Drosophila melanogaster: one gene and its partners. The protein of the gene in region 4 purifies or fractionates together with the protein of the main gene of each other region. This does not show direct contact. Each region holds a gene or a part of one and is shown on either strand. Other genes may lie near its edges. The genes, in order: ergic53, yellow-f, sel and CG11911.

Region 1 (5,342 bases), on a different chromosome or scaffold from region 4:
CCTGCTCCTGCGCAGTGAAAGTATATAGGAAACGGAGCACATAGGCGAAGCTACCATCCAACCGCACACCAGAACTGTGTAACCCATTCCCCGATCCCGTAGAGAATTTATTGCATGGGCCGCGACTGCCGTTGGCTTCTGTCCATCTATCTTTGGCTGTGCTTTTCCTGGGATTTTCCCCAATGCGATGGAATGGGTACTCAGACCACAGAGGACCTGCCCACAATGCCACCATTGGCAGTTACATTTTATGGCCAAAGTTCACCAGAACCCAACTCGTTCCCCAGCCCCACGCATTCTGGCGACCAAGTGGCGCCATTTTTGCCGCATTGTCATCGATGGGAGGATGAAGATGGGGATGGGCAACTGACAGGGATTCTAGTTTATGCTTGCGAGGACTTTTCAAGAAATAAACTTTTTCCTCTGTCGACATCAGCGAAAATAATATCGCATTCGGAAAAGTATAAAAATAAAATGAGGACGCAGATTAAAACTATCAAGTTGAACAGTTGGAGATAGATTTTTCTATAAATTGATTTTTATTTTCACTTTAAACATTTCTATCGAGACTGGAATGGACAACATATATAAAAACACACTTCACTTCAATTGTTTTATAATTTATCAGTATGTATATTAAGATTATTCAGTAGAAAACTTCCTTACATCGCACCAGTGACGATGCGAACCGAACAAAAACTTAGTGAGACAGTTCATCATAATTATTAAATTAATTCACTTTCTGGCGTAATAACAAAAATGCTGGCTAACTAGCTTTGTTGACCATTTGGCGCATGAAAATGGGAAAAAAGATTTATGTTGCCAATTCAGTTTCAAGAGCCGAGCCTGATGGATTCATCTCAACTCTAAAGTATACAAGATATTACAAAAATTTGCTACGTTTACGGAATTTTCGTACTTATATAGATTTTGCCATTTTTATTTTTATTTTTTTTTAGATAGATTTTCTTGTGCTTCTTATAAATGCCTGCACACATGATATGCAGAGTTGAGAATGGAGTGAAACTTTCGACTTGACTTGCTAAAACAAATATGAAACATCTTCTGTTGGCTATTACTAAGGGAAGTTTGTCTTGTGGCTTCTTCGACGGTTTCTTCGTTTTGTATTGCGTGGCATTGTCATGAGGCATACATCATTGATCAAATTTCTTGTTCTTGCTTTGATTAAGTAACGACTTGAGTTTGTATTCGTGACCTGACTTCTTAAACAGACTTCTATTTAAAAAACAAACAGTTACACATAATGGTAGAGCATGCTACGCTGAAGTCTTAAATCTTTCATTTTAACTAAATTTAGTTGCTGCCTAGTCAGGTGTGCGAATCTGTTTCCTCGTGATTTCTGTGGGTGTATGCTTGTGTGTTTGTTATTCGTTACGATCCCAATAAGTCGCGAATTCGCCTAATAGAACTTTTTCGCCTGTGCTTCGCTGCGGTTTCTGCAAGGAATAATAAGTTAGATTGTTTAGTTTCGAATCCACGCTTAAAGATTCCATGAACTCACTTGAAGACGTTGTAGATGAAGACTAGCAGCAGTTGCACAACAGTTACGCTTAGGAACAATGTGACTCCAACGCAATTGCCCGTGGGACAATTGGCCACCTGCGCTGCTCCCTGTGGCGCTGCCAATCTGCAAGGTAAGGGAATGCATATTGAGTATCAAGGAGGTACTTAAAAGATGACAATAAAGTATAATAGTCTAAAACTCATAAACATGTTCCTCTGAATCAAACTTGTTAAAACTCTAATTTCATAATGTGGAATACGAAAAATTAGTATAAATATGGCTGAAAAGGTTAAAATTAATTCGAGCTCAGAATAACTTCGATGACAACAGCTTTAGGAAACTTAAAATAGACTTTGAGCGTATTCCTCACCTTTGGCCCACGTGGGTGATGCCCTGCTTGACCTGATTCATGCCATCGCGCATCTCGGCGATGAGCGTTTGTACATCATAGCCGGTGGATTGGATTTGTGCTGTGGGCGCATGCTTCTGATTCGTTTGAATGTTATCAGTGCGCACATTGATATCGCCAACCAGTTGACGAATCTCGCGGATGGAACTGAGCAGCATGTTCTGATTAGTGAGCAGAAGATCTACATCGCTCCTGCTGACTGCGCCAACGGGCAGCTGTTGCTGTGGCACTCCGCCGGCGGCGGGCGGAGGCAGAGCCTGTCCAGCATTACGTGAGACCAGCGACAGCGTGGTCTCCTGGCGGCCAATAATCTCATCCACTTTGCGGGAAAGTTCGCGTAGGTGATCGGCAATTTGGCTCTGACCCTGCCAGATCTGACGCAGCTCACGCTGGTTCTCCGACTCGTAGAACTCCTCCCAGTCCTCCTCGTCTTTGTGCTGTGGGATTATACGAAAGTTGATTATCAAAACTAGCGATAAGACATCTTTATCAGCTGGCTGCGTGGCAATTACCTCGTCGGGATGGTCCTTCTTGTACTCCTGCTTCTGTTTCTCCAGTTTATCTTGGTATTCCTTGTACTCTTGCGTAAGCTTCTCCTGGTTTTCCACCTTGGGCTGCTCCTGAACTTGTCCAGCGGCATGCAACGACGTGGTCAGGAAATGGAACACATCGTGGTCATCGGCCAGACCGCCCGTGGCGGCGGAAATGCCAAAGTAGCCGTTCTTGGGCAGATTGACGCCATCCGCTCTCAGACACAGCTCGTAGTCATCGTTGTTGTTGGACATTCCGTTGTGGATCATGACGGTAAGCACGTTGTTGTAGTACTCGATTCGCGCCCGTGTAGGGAAGGGCTTGTTACGGAAATCCCTGAGGCAACCGCTCAGGAGCTGAGTGGTTCCATCTTCGGCATGGTCATACAGCTTGGTGCCATCATTGAGCACGGCACTGATGTAAGGATTGTTGTGCTTGTTGTCATTATCGAAGGAATCGAACATGATGGCCAGACCATTCCAGCGGTCCGAGGATCCGAACACAGGCCCATTGTAGTCACCCTTTTCCGTGGTGTACCAGAAGGCCAATCCATCGGCTCCGATCCTGCCACGTCCCGTCACCCGGAACACGATCTCCACGTCCCACCAGTCGAAGTTCGTCTGTGACTTTGTCCAGATGGCACCCTTCTGTGAGCGCAGCGATGGCGCCACGCGCACACTTTCCGAACTGGCGATGGCATCTGAAATGAGGAGCAACAAGTTGTGGCTATAGAAACACCCGAAACCGTGGTCAAAACGACATCCAAACAAAGTGCCTGCGTGTACACTTGGCCGCCTCGCGCCATCTCGCTCGCACCCATGGCCGCAGACCAGCAGCGAGTGGGCCAAAACAACTGACGTGGAGCTGCGTCTTCCACTCGTACTCACTTCCCCCGTACTCCCAAAACGGCACGGTGCCGTCTTTCTGTGCCAAATACGGCGGCTTGAACGAGTACTTGTACTCGAAGCGACGGTGCACGCCCACGGCTCCAGGACTCAGATTGCCGGTCGCCTCGGAGCTGGGATTCCACGCCAGGAAGCACAAAATGGCCAGGAATGTGGGCCGCATCTTTGCAATTATATGTTGACAACTAGTGGTGGGTGGGCGACGATGGTGCAAACTGATGATATCGATAACCAGCCGGCACCGATAGGCGGTGGTATCGCACTGGATGTTCTAAAAGCATTGTATAATTTAAAATCAAATATTATTTTATGTATTGTCTACCATTAACAATTAAGGTAATATAATATAAATTGATTAGAACATTTATTTAGGCCATCCTTCGTATATAAATGTTGAACTTAAATAAAACCAGCCATCCTATAACAATTAACTTCAGCTTAGATCACAATTTAAAATTCTATAAGATAAAAGTTTTTCCATGCATTCTAAGAAACAAGAACCAAGTGATCTAAAAAATATTCAGGCAGCGACAATACAATCGCTATCGATTTCGGTAGATTTTATATCGATATCGCAAATGCCCACCAAATTCAAAAGATCTTGTTATCACTTTATGATGTTGAGGTGGAAAAACATTTATTTTGAAAATTTAAAGTGTTTACGTCCCGTTAGAAAATAAACATAAATATAGCAAAATACGCGCCATTCGCATGTGCTTACATAGATACATGTTTATCAATACGTTATTGTAAAATTATTTCGTTAGTTGTTTCAATTGCCTTTTGCGTGATATCACCAAAGTAGTATTACATCCATATCTCCAAAATTCCTTTAGCACAGTTAGCACAGTGTGTGTATATATGTTTACATCTTTATTCTTTGTTTCTGATTTCCTACCGTTTGTAGTTTTCGTAGAGCTTACAGCTAGAATTATTATAGGTTTTAATGCCTCGGTAGCACATAGTGTGGGCTTCATAAAATATTGTTAGTTGCTCAGTTTACACAAGTGATAGCTTTGTGTGCAGATCGGTGTGTGGGGGATAGTCATTAGGGGCGATCGTGCCGCAAGTTTCGCCATTTTACAAATGTTAGTTACTTATTTTGAATCACAATCACTTTCGTGTTAGTTCTGTGCGCGATCAAAAGAAAAACTCAAATCGATTAAAACAAAATCAAAGTCTTTGTTTTAGCTTGATTTATTACAAAATTATAATTAAACGAAGGCGCTACAGTGTAGCGAAAATCTAAATTATGCATGATGGTGCAATATAATAATCTTTTCAATTTATTACAAATACGATAATAAATTAAGCTTAAATGGGTTTTGTGTACATTTCCCGAAAGAGGAAATATGCGTTCAAGTCGTTAAGTACTGTAGAAAATCATAACAGCGGTGGACATACCTTTATTTTGGGTTTAGAATGTTAAACTCGCATAAAGTAAACGTGCGCACTCTAGACTACAAAATACAAAAAGTATATGTATGTATACATATCCTACAATATATATGTATATTTATATATAATATATCGTAATTTTTAGGTTCTCTTTCGTGTATAAGATCAGTAATTAGAGGATTGTGGGATCCAGATCCAATCCATTTTTTGTTACTTCCTTTTCTCATTTGACAGCATCACGGCATGCTTTTCAAATGTTTTCATCTAAATTCAAGATCACTTTATAACCTAGCCAATTTCAAGACATCTTACATTAAATTGGGTGTGAAATGGATTCGAACGCAGTTCAATAGCAAAATTAGGAACGAAAATAAAACGAGTTTGATGAATTGCGTCGCTTGTGTGTGGGTGTGAGGTTGTGTGTTTCATAAACTGGATAACAAATGCGTTTGATAAGCGCCAACCGGCTGTGTCTGTGGTTCTGTTTTGTCTAACTCTGTGAACTAATAATGTAAACAACAATGTAATGAAATTATACAAAAAATAATAATTCAAGAGGTTCTATAGGCTTGGC
Region 2 (4,091 bases), on a different chromosome or scaffold from region 4:
ACTATATAGTCAACTAGAACTGGTAGAAACATTTCGCTATATTACGTACTACACACTACATATATTAACTATGATCGAAACTACTTAAAGGACTTAGGTGTAGCGTTGAGGAACATATACAAAAGCAACCTATATATTTTTTGCAAAACTTTATATAAACTCGTACATATATATACAAATTGAATAGATATATATATATATATATATATAGATCTATATACACCATATGTATAGCTGACACTTTGAAGGGCTACCAAATTTACACCTCGAATTTGTTTAGATGCGGAAAAGTTATGAGAAATTTACAACATGAAATTCAAGTATTTTAGGTTAACATATACACGCGTAACCCTTACACACACAACTGTGCAACTTAGTATCCTTATGCAATATTGGAGTGCCTCTGATTTTGTTCATTGATGTTGTTTTCTTTCATGTTTTCATTTGTTTCGTGCGAAAAGACATACGCATCTGTCGTAACATATAAGATGTGATAAAAATGAGTACTCAAATTTAGGCAATTTTAAACGATACATATGTAAATGCTTTTTGATTTATTTTATTAATAAGTTTCCGTGTGTTATTTCGATAAACATATTACTTATGCGAAAAATTCATTAAAGCAATTCCACGCAAATCACTCACAAACTGTTCCCCTCTTGGCCAGCAATGTCGACTGCCTCCAGATTCGGAAATTGTACTTCTCCACATCCAGCTTGGAGTACACAAAGATGGGCATGGAGTTGGACATCACCCAAATGTATCCCTCCTCGTCGATCTAAAACAACAACGCACTTAACCTTCGTTTTCGTGTTACAAATAGAAAGGGATGAGCTTACGGTCAAATCGCTGGGATAAATCATCTCCGATGAATTGGAATAAACGGAGCCATGGTTTTCCGTTGAGAACGGCTTGCTGGTTTTCCAGCAGCCCACTCCACTCTTCTGGACCTCGGCAAAGAAAATCACCCCGGTCCGCGGATCGTATTTATGCATTGTGGACTGGGTGGACGGACCACGAGTTCCCAGAAGATGGAAGTCGTCTCCATGATCAGAACGTGCTGCATTGAATTCCTGCTGCAAGACCCTGTTGCTAACCACAAACTCATTCGTGCTGGCCATAGGATGGAAGAAGACATCCCTGCTGCCATCGGGCTTATATGATCCCAAGGTCGCCGAGAAAATCCCGTCGTCCCAGCGGAAGGTCTGCCCACCAATGTTGAGATTATCAGAAAGGGGATCAAAGTTAAAGAAGCTGTGCTCGAAGGACCAAATTCTATCGCTTCGCAGGTGATAGACGTGCAGTCTGCGATTGACCAAATCCGGAATGTAGGCATAGGCATCGTTGCACCTCCGAGCGCCCACATCGATTGTGATGCTGGCTAGTCCACGTCCGATCTCCACTATGCTCTGCGGAATCTCAAATCGTTTCAATAAGCGATCGTTAGCCAAATCGATCACCCAAATGCTAGGATGTCGAATCTGCTGGCGATTATCTGATGGTTATATAATATTATTTTAACCTGGATCACCTTGCCTATAAAGCAAATGATTATACTCACTGGGAAACTCCAGCATTCCGGTGTCGACGAACCAGAGACGCCCACAGACATCCACTGAGGTTCTATAGACAGACACTAGGTTCTGCTCGCTCGCATTATACTGATTCACCGCCAAGTTGGGATAGGCCCGTAGATGGGGACTCTGACTCCACCCATCCTTGGCCAGATCGATGTAGTTTAAGGTGGACGGAATGCCCGGCTGTCGCCGTGGCACGGTGACAAAGAGGCGTCCTCGAAAGTGGGTTACTCCTTGGGGCACGTTGTTGTATTGGATGAAGGATCCTGAGGATGAGGAGCCTAAGCACTTGCGGGAGTTGTAGAAATGCGAATCTTTGTCGAACGAATAATTGTGATATATATACATATTATTCGTTATAAAAGTGACGATAAAATGGTGATTAAAATAATATTCATATTACAACCATTTCATAATGTTTTGTGGAAAAACTTAGTGATTCACCGACATTTGCTGATGTTTGAAATTGAACATATTTCAATTGGATATTTTTGGAGTTACCTGGAATGCAGATCCTGTTCCACAAATCCTTATAGCCATCGCCGCGATTGTAAAAGTCCAACTGCTTCCACTTGAAGACCTCAATCATGGGATCTCCATCTGCAGAGATTAGCAATTGGAACCCTGAGATTGCGCACAGGAGCAGAACGTCCAGCGATAACATTTTATAAAATTCCGGTCGTTCGCCTTTCCTGGCTGAAAACCCACTTGTGACTGACTGACTCCTCAGCTTGGGTTCAACTGAGTTAAACGTGCTCTGCGACTCAAAAATGAGCTCAGAATGTAAAGTGATAAGAGCAGTCACTGGGATTCCCAAGCTCTTATTTTCCATGTCTCTTTATTCAACTTTTAAGATTTGTTGATAATCTGAAGAGTATATTTGTAAAGCTAACTATTTATTCGAAAATTTCGTCATTCTTACTTATGTATGTATTTTTAATTAAGTAACAAATTCAACAGGAATTCCACACGAATCACTCACAAACTGTGCCCCTCTTGGCCAGTGAAGCCTTCTGCTTCCAAATCCGGAAATTGTATATACTCGTGTCCAGTGTGGAGTAGATGAAGATGGGCATGGAGTTGGACATGACCCAAATGGTGCCATCCTCGTCAATCTGCAATAGTAAGATGAGATGTATAACTTTTTTTCTTCAACTTTTTTATCCAAAACCATTTGCTTACCGACAAGTCGCTGGGATAAATCATATCCTCGGCATTGGAATCCACAGAGCCATAGTTTTCCGCCGAGATGGGCTTGCTGGTCTTCCAGCAGCCCACTCCGTTGCGCTGGATCTCATCGAAGAAGATCACCCCAGTCCCAGGATCGTAAGCGTGCATCGTAGACTGGGTGGACGGACCACGGCTTCCGAGTACCCGGAAATCGTTCCCATGATCGGAACGTGCGGCGTTGGATTCCTGCTGCAGAACCCGGTTGGAGACCACAAACTCATTCGTACTGGCCATGGGATGGAAGTAGGCATCGCGGCTCCCATCCAGTTTCTGGGCCCCCAAAGTTATTGAGAAGATGCCATCGTCCCAGCGGAAGGTCTGGCCGCCAATGCTGAGATCCCCGGACAGCGGATCGAAGTTGAAGTAGTTGTGCTCGAAGGACCAGATTCTATCGTTTCGCAGGTGATAGACGTACAGGCGCCGGTACACCAGATCCGGAATATAGGCGTAGGCATCGCCACACTGACCCGCCTTCACATCCACGGTGATGCTGGCCAATCCGCGACCCGTCTCAGCTATACTCTCCGGAACATCGAAGCGCTTCAGCACCTGATCCGTGGCCAAGTCAACTACCCAAATGCTGGGACGGCGGATCTGTTGGCGGTTATCTGGATATGAGAATCATGATTGAGTTTTTTATATTCTTGGTCACCAAATTAGATTAATACGGATCGATCCTGATCTTTTATATTACATGTCAATACATGCCAACTCACTTGGATACTCCAGCATTCCCGTGTCGATAAACCAGAGACGCTGGCATGCATCCACGGAGGTTCTGTAGACGGACACCAGATTCTCCGCACTCGCGTTGAACTGATTAAGCGCAAAGTTGGGATAGGCCCGCAGCTTGGGGCTGCGATTCGATCCGTCCTCGGCCAGATCGATGTAATTCAAGGTGGATGGGATGCCCACCCGTCGACGAGGCATCGTGACAAAGAGGCGGCCGCGGAAGTGAGTGGCTCCCATGGGCACGTTATTGTACGGAATGTAGGAGGCGTTGGGGTCGTCGCTGTCGGCGCGGGAGCTGACCACTACCGGTGTATCGCGGGAGGTCATAATCTTACGCTTTCGACGAGAATACTTTCCAGGAAAGACAACCGGAGCTAGTTGAACAATAAAAAAATAGTACATAAGTAAATACCAATAAATCTATCTAACAAGGCTCGCGAGATTGCTATTGCTGAATGAGAACTAGTAATATCATATTATGAGTACTAACCTGAAAAGCTGGGCCTGTCTTTCCTTCCGCCCGAGCTTAGATGGCCATCTCCGCGATTGTAA
Region 3 (3,524 bases), on a different chromosome or scaffold from region 4:
CTATAAAGATATATGTCAGGAAATTTTTCGAAAAGCCAGTAACTTTCATTCGTTCGCTAGAAATCTGGGAGTAACTTCTCACTCGCAAGCAATCAAATAATTTCTTATTCCCGTCTCAACAAACGGATTAAAATTTACTCATGTGGCCCACACTTCGTAAACCCATTGGCAAGTTTAGCGGGCCGCTGATGCGTTATGGGAGTGGATATCCAGGCGGCTCTCCTGGGGCGGTAGTTAATCCAAGGTCAACACGCAGCTAACCATTCTAAGAACTTACAATTTCCCTCACAGAACTTACCCTTTGGCTTGGATAGTCCAATGCGTTTCACACTATTTTACCTAATTGCGGGAGTCGTGGGCTTTGGGGCTCCGTTCCTAGTTATTCGCCATCAGATGCTTCGTAATGTAACCAATGATCCGTAAGTAATCCGAGTAATCCAATAAAATCGTATCGTTATTAATGTTTGCTTTACAGCAAGGATGAGTAATCCCAAAATGACATAGAACACTCGTTAATAAATTAATAAAAATACATTGCACATGGAATTTATTGTCGTACATAATTTGTAACACTTGGCATGGTTTTCTTTACATTAGCTAAACATAATTTTCGTTCGAAATATCAGTACAAAGACCTCCACTGGCGGCGATCAAGGAAATTCGTTAATTAACTAAGCTTTCACTGGGACAAACTACAGTTCCTCTTTGCCATCAAAGTCATACTCCTCCTGGACCGGCGATTCGTCGCAGTAGCTCGCTTGTTCTGAGCAGATCTTGATGTCTAAATCGTTTCCGAGCTCTTCGGCCTGGAAGGCTTTAACGAAGATCTCATCGTTGTCCTCCAGTACTTCGTTGCAGAAGTGCCCCAGGCTTTTGTTGAGATCACCATCTTGCACAAAGTCAACCAACGAGGAGTCTGGGTTCATCTGACCATTGATGATCATCTTGAGGAGTGTGAATTTCCCGTTGCTCTTGTAGGTTGCCTTCAAGTAGTCGTCCATTTTTTCGCCTTAGAACGGGAAAATATTAGGAATGATAAGCAAAGTGTTATCATTAATAGAATACCACATATAACTATCTTCATTGATAAACAATAGCTACGCTCGAAGGTAAAACTTTTGACTAACGTCAAATGTTTTAAGATTAGACTGGTCTTTATCAAGCCTCTATGCTATTCCGTACCATATGGTAATAATTACTTACAGATCTTCTCCATCAGTTCGGTAAGGAACATTTCAGATTTCACTAGGCGAACTTTCTTGCTGATCGAATTTCCCTGTGCGTCCAGCCGGAATCCACTGACATCGGCCATCTTGTGGGGGTCCTCCTTGGCAATGGCCTCCTCCAGTTCCGTAACCACGGCCTTGCACACTGTAATTTATGGAACCTCAATTATCCGGGCTCCCAGGGCCAGCCAACAAGTGCACTGCCGCCTGTTGCTGGCGCGCTGTTATGTGTGGATTCTCCTTACCGTGACACTTGACCTCGCGGGAGGTGAAGCTGTAACCTTGGGCCAAGGCCAGCAGGCCGAACAGGATAAGCGCCTTCGTCAGCATCTTTTTAATTGATTGTTTAATAGTTTAACGCGTGGAAACTAATTGCATTAACCACGTCAGCAGAAGCGCCTTCCGTTTAAAAGTGCGGCGTTGATAAAGACGTGTGCTGTATTTACGACGACTTAAGAGCGACGTGGTTCTTGATGCTCTGCAGCGATAAGTGAAGAATTCTACTTAATTTATGCCCAAGATGTGGTGACGAGGGACGCGGTCAGTGGGTCTGGGTCAGCGTTCACAAGAATTGTGGTAAACGTTTTAAAGAAACCTTATTGATAATACCCGGCTATCGATAGAACTTTTCTAGCTAACGCCAGTTTTGGCTATCAAATATTTTTAAGGTGACCATCTCTACCTATTTTAAGCTAAAAATGAAATATGTGTACTTGTCGTTAAGAGATTTAATTTGATGATTCACATAAAATGATGTCGTTTAACATTTGTAAATCGTTTGAACAAAAAAAATATCGATAGTCAAGTGCGCGCGTTAATTCAAATCTTGATCGTAGCACGATGCACGTTGAAATGTTTAAGTTTGGGGGAGAGCTGCATTATATACATATGTGCATCTCAATTCTCGTATTCTCTTAGCTCTAGATCGAAAACTTATGTACATTAGCCGATGTGCTACTATATAGTGAGCCGATAACTGAAGAGTCAGTGCAAATGGAGAATCGCTCGCGAGTGGTTGCTCTGTTTTCGGATCGAGATGTGAGGACGAGGGGTTCGCGTAATTAACCGGCAAAGCGTTTGTAAATTAAAAGAAACCCACAAGTCGGCCGCGTTCCTCGATTTCTACATACTCTTATTAACCATTATAATTGGCGTTAATTAAGTGTCGTGTTTCTCTCTCGGCGCGTGTTTCTCTTCCCTATTCCCCTTGTTCGCTTGCACTGATGATCATTTTTCTTGGCGTCTGTTTGTTTGCTCGGTTAATTGATAAGAACGAATTGTAGTCGTCGGACTTGCCGTATTTATAGAGCAATGCCGCAAAAGAAACGGAAATGCAATGCAAATTGTTGCTATACCTTTTAGCGTAGGTTCAATTTTTTGACCCTGCCAAACGGAAAGTGGCATTCGCGGGCTACGAGATAAGCGATCGATGATAATTTATTCAGCTATGAATGAGTTCGAGAAGCACCGCAATCTTAAATAGAAAACACATAGATTTAATGTGGATTTTATTTAAAAATATATAGAAAAATATATATCTCCTTATTAAAATCAAGTGCAACGGCACAAACCTTTAACACAAACACCTTTAAAGCCCTTCTTCGAACAGAGGGAATTGCACCGCTCAATGCAGGACTGTCGCCTTGGGCGGACATGTTCCTTCGCATCCTGGATAAGACTCCTTTGAAGCTCCTTTTGCAGAAGTCTATTCTCGGAATCCTTCGGAATAGATCGAACCTGCATTAAGCAAACCGCAACTAGAGTTAGCGCCAGAATAATCGTGATCTTCATGTTGTGATATGAAATCGAGAACTGTTCCAGCTCGTTCAGGTTGCATTCGTGTTTTATAGTAAATTGAAAGGCTGCCGGTTTATGATAATGAGTATTTTTGTCGTAAGAATAGAAAATATTATTGTTTCTTTTCAAAGTTATGCGGAATAAAGTATATGCGAAAGCTGTTTCCGTTTGTTGCTCAGTTAGAAACTGACTAATTATGCCGTTATATGACATTGTATGTTTGGAAACTACAGCAAAAGCTTTATGTAACCAAATTATATTAAAGTACAACGCAAACAATCGATGGGAGAAATTATACAAATTTAAAAAGAATTTCAAATTTGTATTGCTTTTTTAAGTAAAGTTTACTGAGCTTAATATTTCTTTATTAAAATCTGCCTTGAATCGCCATGAAGACCAATAACTGCTCCCGTTAAGAGCTTTTTTAAACAAAGTAAATATATACGTATATATTTGGTATATATAGATCGTGCTCCTCGGGACCTCAATTTTTTTTTTAGC
Region 4 (3,403 bases):
TGTAAATTTTCATGCGTCATCCTTGTATTCTTTGTTGTATTAAACGTTGTTTTAGCAACATGTTGATTCTTAGAATTCGAACTTTGTAAAGCTTTTCCAATCTCTTTGTTCAATATTATTTAGCACTTTTTTAATAGCAATGATAAGGAGCTTTCAGTCCGGTTAGATTTGATTGGTCGAGTGCATGACTTTCGATACTGGATCGTCTATCAATGGCACACGCCTCCAAAAGTCTGGGCTTTTCCAGAGCTTATATTAGAAACCATAAATCAAGAGACAAATGGTGTGTTCGGGACCGTCTTTAATCCAGTTCCGATTACAGTTCGATTCAAGGGTAATCAGACACAATAAATTGTAGAAAAGCAAACAGAGACTGGACTTTCATTGCCTATAATTATTTCACAATCGATCAATCGGAGGGGTGTACAAAACTAGTTTCTTTTTGAACGTTTTTGCTTTGCGTTGAAGAGGATGGTATTTTAGAAAGAATAAACGCAAAAAAGTTACAAGACAAGTTTTAGTTGGATGCTTTTATTCAACAATCGATCATGACTCTGATCAATAGCGATTTCGATCCTGGCTAATAGATCTGACTAATAGTTTCTTCCTTTTGTTTAGAAGAGCTTGTAGTAGGCACTCTGAATATTGGTTATCCAATCAATGTAGGCCGACACCTTGGTGTAAATGGAAGGCATGTTGGCCAGTCCGCAGGGGATGTAGCCCCAGGATACGATGCCAATCAGCTCGGAGGGGGCGTTTGTGAACTCAACAACCAGGGGGCCGCCGGAGTCACCGTTGCATGCAGACTTGCTCTGTTGCAGGGAAGAGGAGCAGATGTTGGACTCAGCGATAGGAGCGCTTTCCGGCAGCTCCTCCTTGCACTCCTCGTAGTTCAAAATTTGGGTGGTCACAGTCTGCAGGGTCTTGGCGCCCGAGAAGATGTAGGACTTTGGCTGTCCCCAACCGTACAGGTGGGTCTCTCCCTCATGGACTTGTTCACGGCTGGGCAAGGTGGCGGGCTGCACCCACTCGTTGAAGATGAAAGACTCGTTCACGTGCAGCAGGGCAATGTCGTAGGGCCCAACGCCACCGGTGTACTTCTCGTGGACGCGGCCAAAGTCAACTTGGCGCTGCTGGGTCAGCTCATCCACCTCGGCACGGGTGTGGAGTCCGGCAATGATGCTCATGCCTACTGGCTCGGAAATGCAATGAGCAGCAGTCACAATCCAGTCCTTGTTAATCAAGGTGCCTCCGCAGATGTGCGAGTGCTTCAAGTAGTTGGTCGCCAGGGAAACAATGTACGGGGCGGAGTGGGGTTCTGCCTCCGTGCCGTTGATCACGAAGCCGGTCGCAAAGCTAGGCACGAGTTTGGCCAGCTTGTCGGAGAGCTTGGCTCCCTGGGCGGCGGCCACAAGGGCAATAACCAAAGTCACAGTGATCAGTTTCATTCTGCAGATTTACGGAGAATGTATACTGACTACCAACTAATGGCACCTTTTATACTTGCCCACCACTAGAGATAAGCAGATAGATTTATGAATAGTATTTGACGATTAGTTAATTTCGTCTGAATTGATTACGATTGTCCGATATGAGTACGCGTATTTAATAGTAACTTGTTCTTGAATGGGAAAAGCCCTGGAAATCTGCGCCCACGTGGGTGTGCGTAATGTGCTAACCGAGGTGTTGACACGGCAAGGTCGACCACGGCCCAGTCTCAAAGGATGCTATAAATACTGACCCCTCTCGATGGGGTTCTCCCAGCTGGCGTTCAAAGCCAATTAAGAGAGGAGGAAGAGATTTCATACCCCTGAAGTGACCGCGTGTTTGCGTAAACATTTTCAGGACAACATCCACACCATGGGACATGTGGCCCTAATGACACATGGTTGCAGCTTGTTCCGGACAGTCGGCAATTAGTGCATGCAAGGATGCACTCCGCGATCTTCATTGTGTCCTCTTACGCGCTTCAAAGGTTAATTGCAAAATTTAAATGCCACAGCACCAGGAGGTTAAAATAGTACATGTAGCCTAAGACGGAGCTTAAACTTAAATTATATTTTACATGCTACATACATACATACAATATATGCATATATGTTAGGTAATGTGGAGAAGTTGAATGTCCCACTCCATGTAATTTTTTAAAGCCACATTAAAAACGTAATCTCTTAATTCCCGGTATCAGAGGTTAGTCCAATATTTCTATAATCGAACTAGTTCTTTGAGTTACTGCTGCACTCCAGGGGTTTTCTCTCTTTCCTCTGCATGGCAAAGCTTTTTGGTCTTGTACTATAAAAGGCCAGTTGCTTTTCGGCGTCCGGTTTAGACGATTCAAATTCTCAACCGTATCAGTGATGTTATCGCCGCTTTTCCTGCTGCCCCTCTTGGCTTTGGCCGGAGCGGCTAAACTTCCGCACATTCAACACCTGACATTGAGGGATACAGAACAAGTTCACGCAGAGATCCAGCCCCTGATTATAGATGGCTACGATGTGCAGGGGGTGGACAATGTGCCCTACCTGGTGTCCCTGTCCTTGACAAGGGCCACCTATACCCACTTGTGCGGGGCATCCATCATTGGCAAACGATGGCTCCTGACGGCTGCTCATTGTGTCGATGAACTGCGCACCTTCAACGGAGATGCCGTAGGAACACCCGTTTACGCTGGAATCATCAACCGGTCGAACGTGACGGCCGCCCAAGTGCGCTACGTCGACTTCGCCTCAACGCATCGGTCTTTCAATGGAAACGCCGGAAGTGACAATATAGCCTTGCTCCACGTCTCTGAGAGCTTCGAGTACAACGCTCGAGTTCAGCAGATCGCCCTGCCCGACATCAATGATGATTACAGCAATAAGACAGCTGCTGCTTATGGCTGGGGACTCACCGACCCCGATGGCGACGAGTACTCCAAAGAGTTGCAGTATGCCTTCGCTCCCCTACTCAATAGCACGGGTTGCAAGGAGTTGCTGCCCGCAGACGCTCCTCTGACGGCGCAGCAGGTGTGCTCTCAGGTAAAGACCTGCTACGGAGACGGAGGCACTCCCCTGATCTACTGGCCCATCACTGGACCGGCGGAGTTGGTGGGCCTCGGATCCTGGAGCTATATGCCGTGCGGATATGCCAATCGGCCAACGGTGTACACCTCTGTACCCCCTTACATTGGATGGATCCACCAAACGATCGGCGCCTACTACCAGCTTAACTGAGAGTCGTGGTGTCGAAGGGGAGATCTTTGCGTAATACTCTAGCAGTACATTAAAGTAAACACCGCGCGTTTTCGTATCTTATCACAGAGCTCGTTAACGTGAATAGAAAACCTTGTTTTATTGCTCGATAAGTGGACGGCTGATTGCCTGAAATCGAACTACTATTTATAATTGCCGATCAGCTGGCGATT

What was found.
Region 1: the proteins of CG11911 (region 4) and ergic53 purify together in Drosophila melanogaster (affinity purification with mass spectrometry, with the first as the bait; one large-scale study listed by BioGRID). This does not show direct contact.
Region 2: the proteins of CG11911 (region 4) and yellow-f purify together in Drosophila melanogaster (affinity purification with mass spectrometry, with the first as the bait; one large-scale study listed by BioGRID). This does not show direct contact.
Region 3: the proteins of CG11911 (region 4) and sel purify together in Drosophila melanogaster (affinity purification with mass spectrometry, with the first as the bait; one large-scale study listed by BioGRID). This does not show direct contact.

Annotation. Positions count from the first base shown.
Region 1 is NT_037436.4:8,533,197-8,538,538, reverse strand, and holds ergic53 (ergic53), read right to left. Parts: upstream 3,563-5,342; 5' UTR 3,534-3,562; coding exon 3,353-3,533; intron 3,166-3,352; coding exon 2,447-3,165; intron 2,372-2,446; coding exon 1,896-2,371; intron 1,649-1,895; coding exon 1,523-1,648; intron 1,458-1,522; coding exon 1,421-1,457; 3' UTR 526-1,420; downstream 1-525.
Region 2 is NT_033777.3:12,990,905-12,994,995, forward strand, and holds yellow-f (yellow-f), read right to left. Parts: upstream 2,298-4,091; 5' UTR 2,242-2,297; coding exon 2,079-2,241; intron 1,892-2,078; coding exon 1,562-1,891; intron 1,496-1,561; coding exon 840-1,495; intron 779-839; coding exon 638-778; 3' UTR 545-637; downstream 1-544. Other genes in the region: yellow-f2, read right to left, coding at 2,552-2,692, 2,760-3,415, 3,524-3,913, 4,030-4,091. UniProt on the Drosophila melanogaster protein: Tautomerization of L-dopachrome with decarboxylation to give 5,6-dihydroxyindole (DHI). Also catalyzes the tautomerization of the methyl ester of L-dopachrome and dopamine chrome. May play a role in melanization reactions during late pupal and adult stages.
Region 3 is NT_033778.4:10,050,331-10,053,854, forward strand, and holds sel (seele), read right to left. Parts: upstream 1,838-3,524; 5' UTR 1,557-1,837; coding exon 1,472-1,556; intron 1,372-1,471; coding exon 1,204-1,371; intron 1,010-1,203; coding exon 693-1,009; 3' UTR 532-692; downstream 1-531. Other genes in the region: COX7CL (cytochrome c oxidase subunit 7C-like), read left to right, coding at 141-230, 292-419, 476-488. UniProt on the Drosophila melanogaster protein: Involved in embryonic dorsal-ventral patterning which is generated by a series of serine protease processing events where gd processes snk which cleaves ea which then processes spz into the activating ligand for the Toll receptor.
Region 4 is NT_033779.5:319,774-323,176, forward strand, and holds CG11911 (uncharacterized protein), read right to left. Parts: upstream 1,476-3,403; 5' UTR 1,449-1,475; coding exon 615-1,448; 3' UTR 506-614; downstream 1-505. Other genes in the region: CG33127 (uncharacterized protein), read left to right, coding at 2,358-3,212.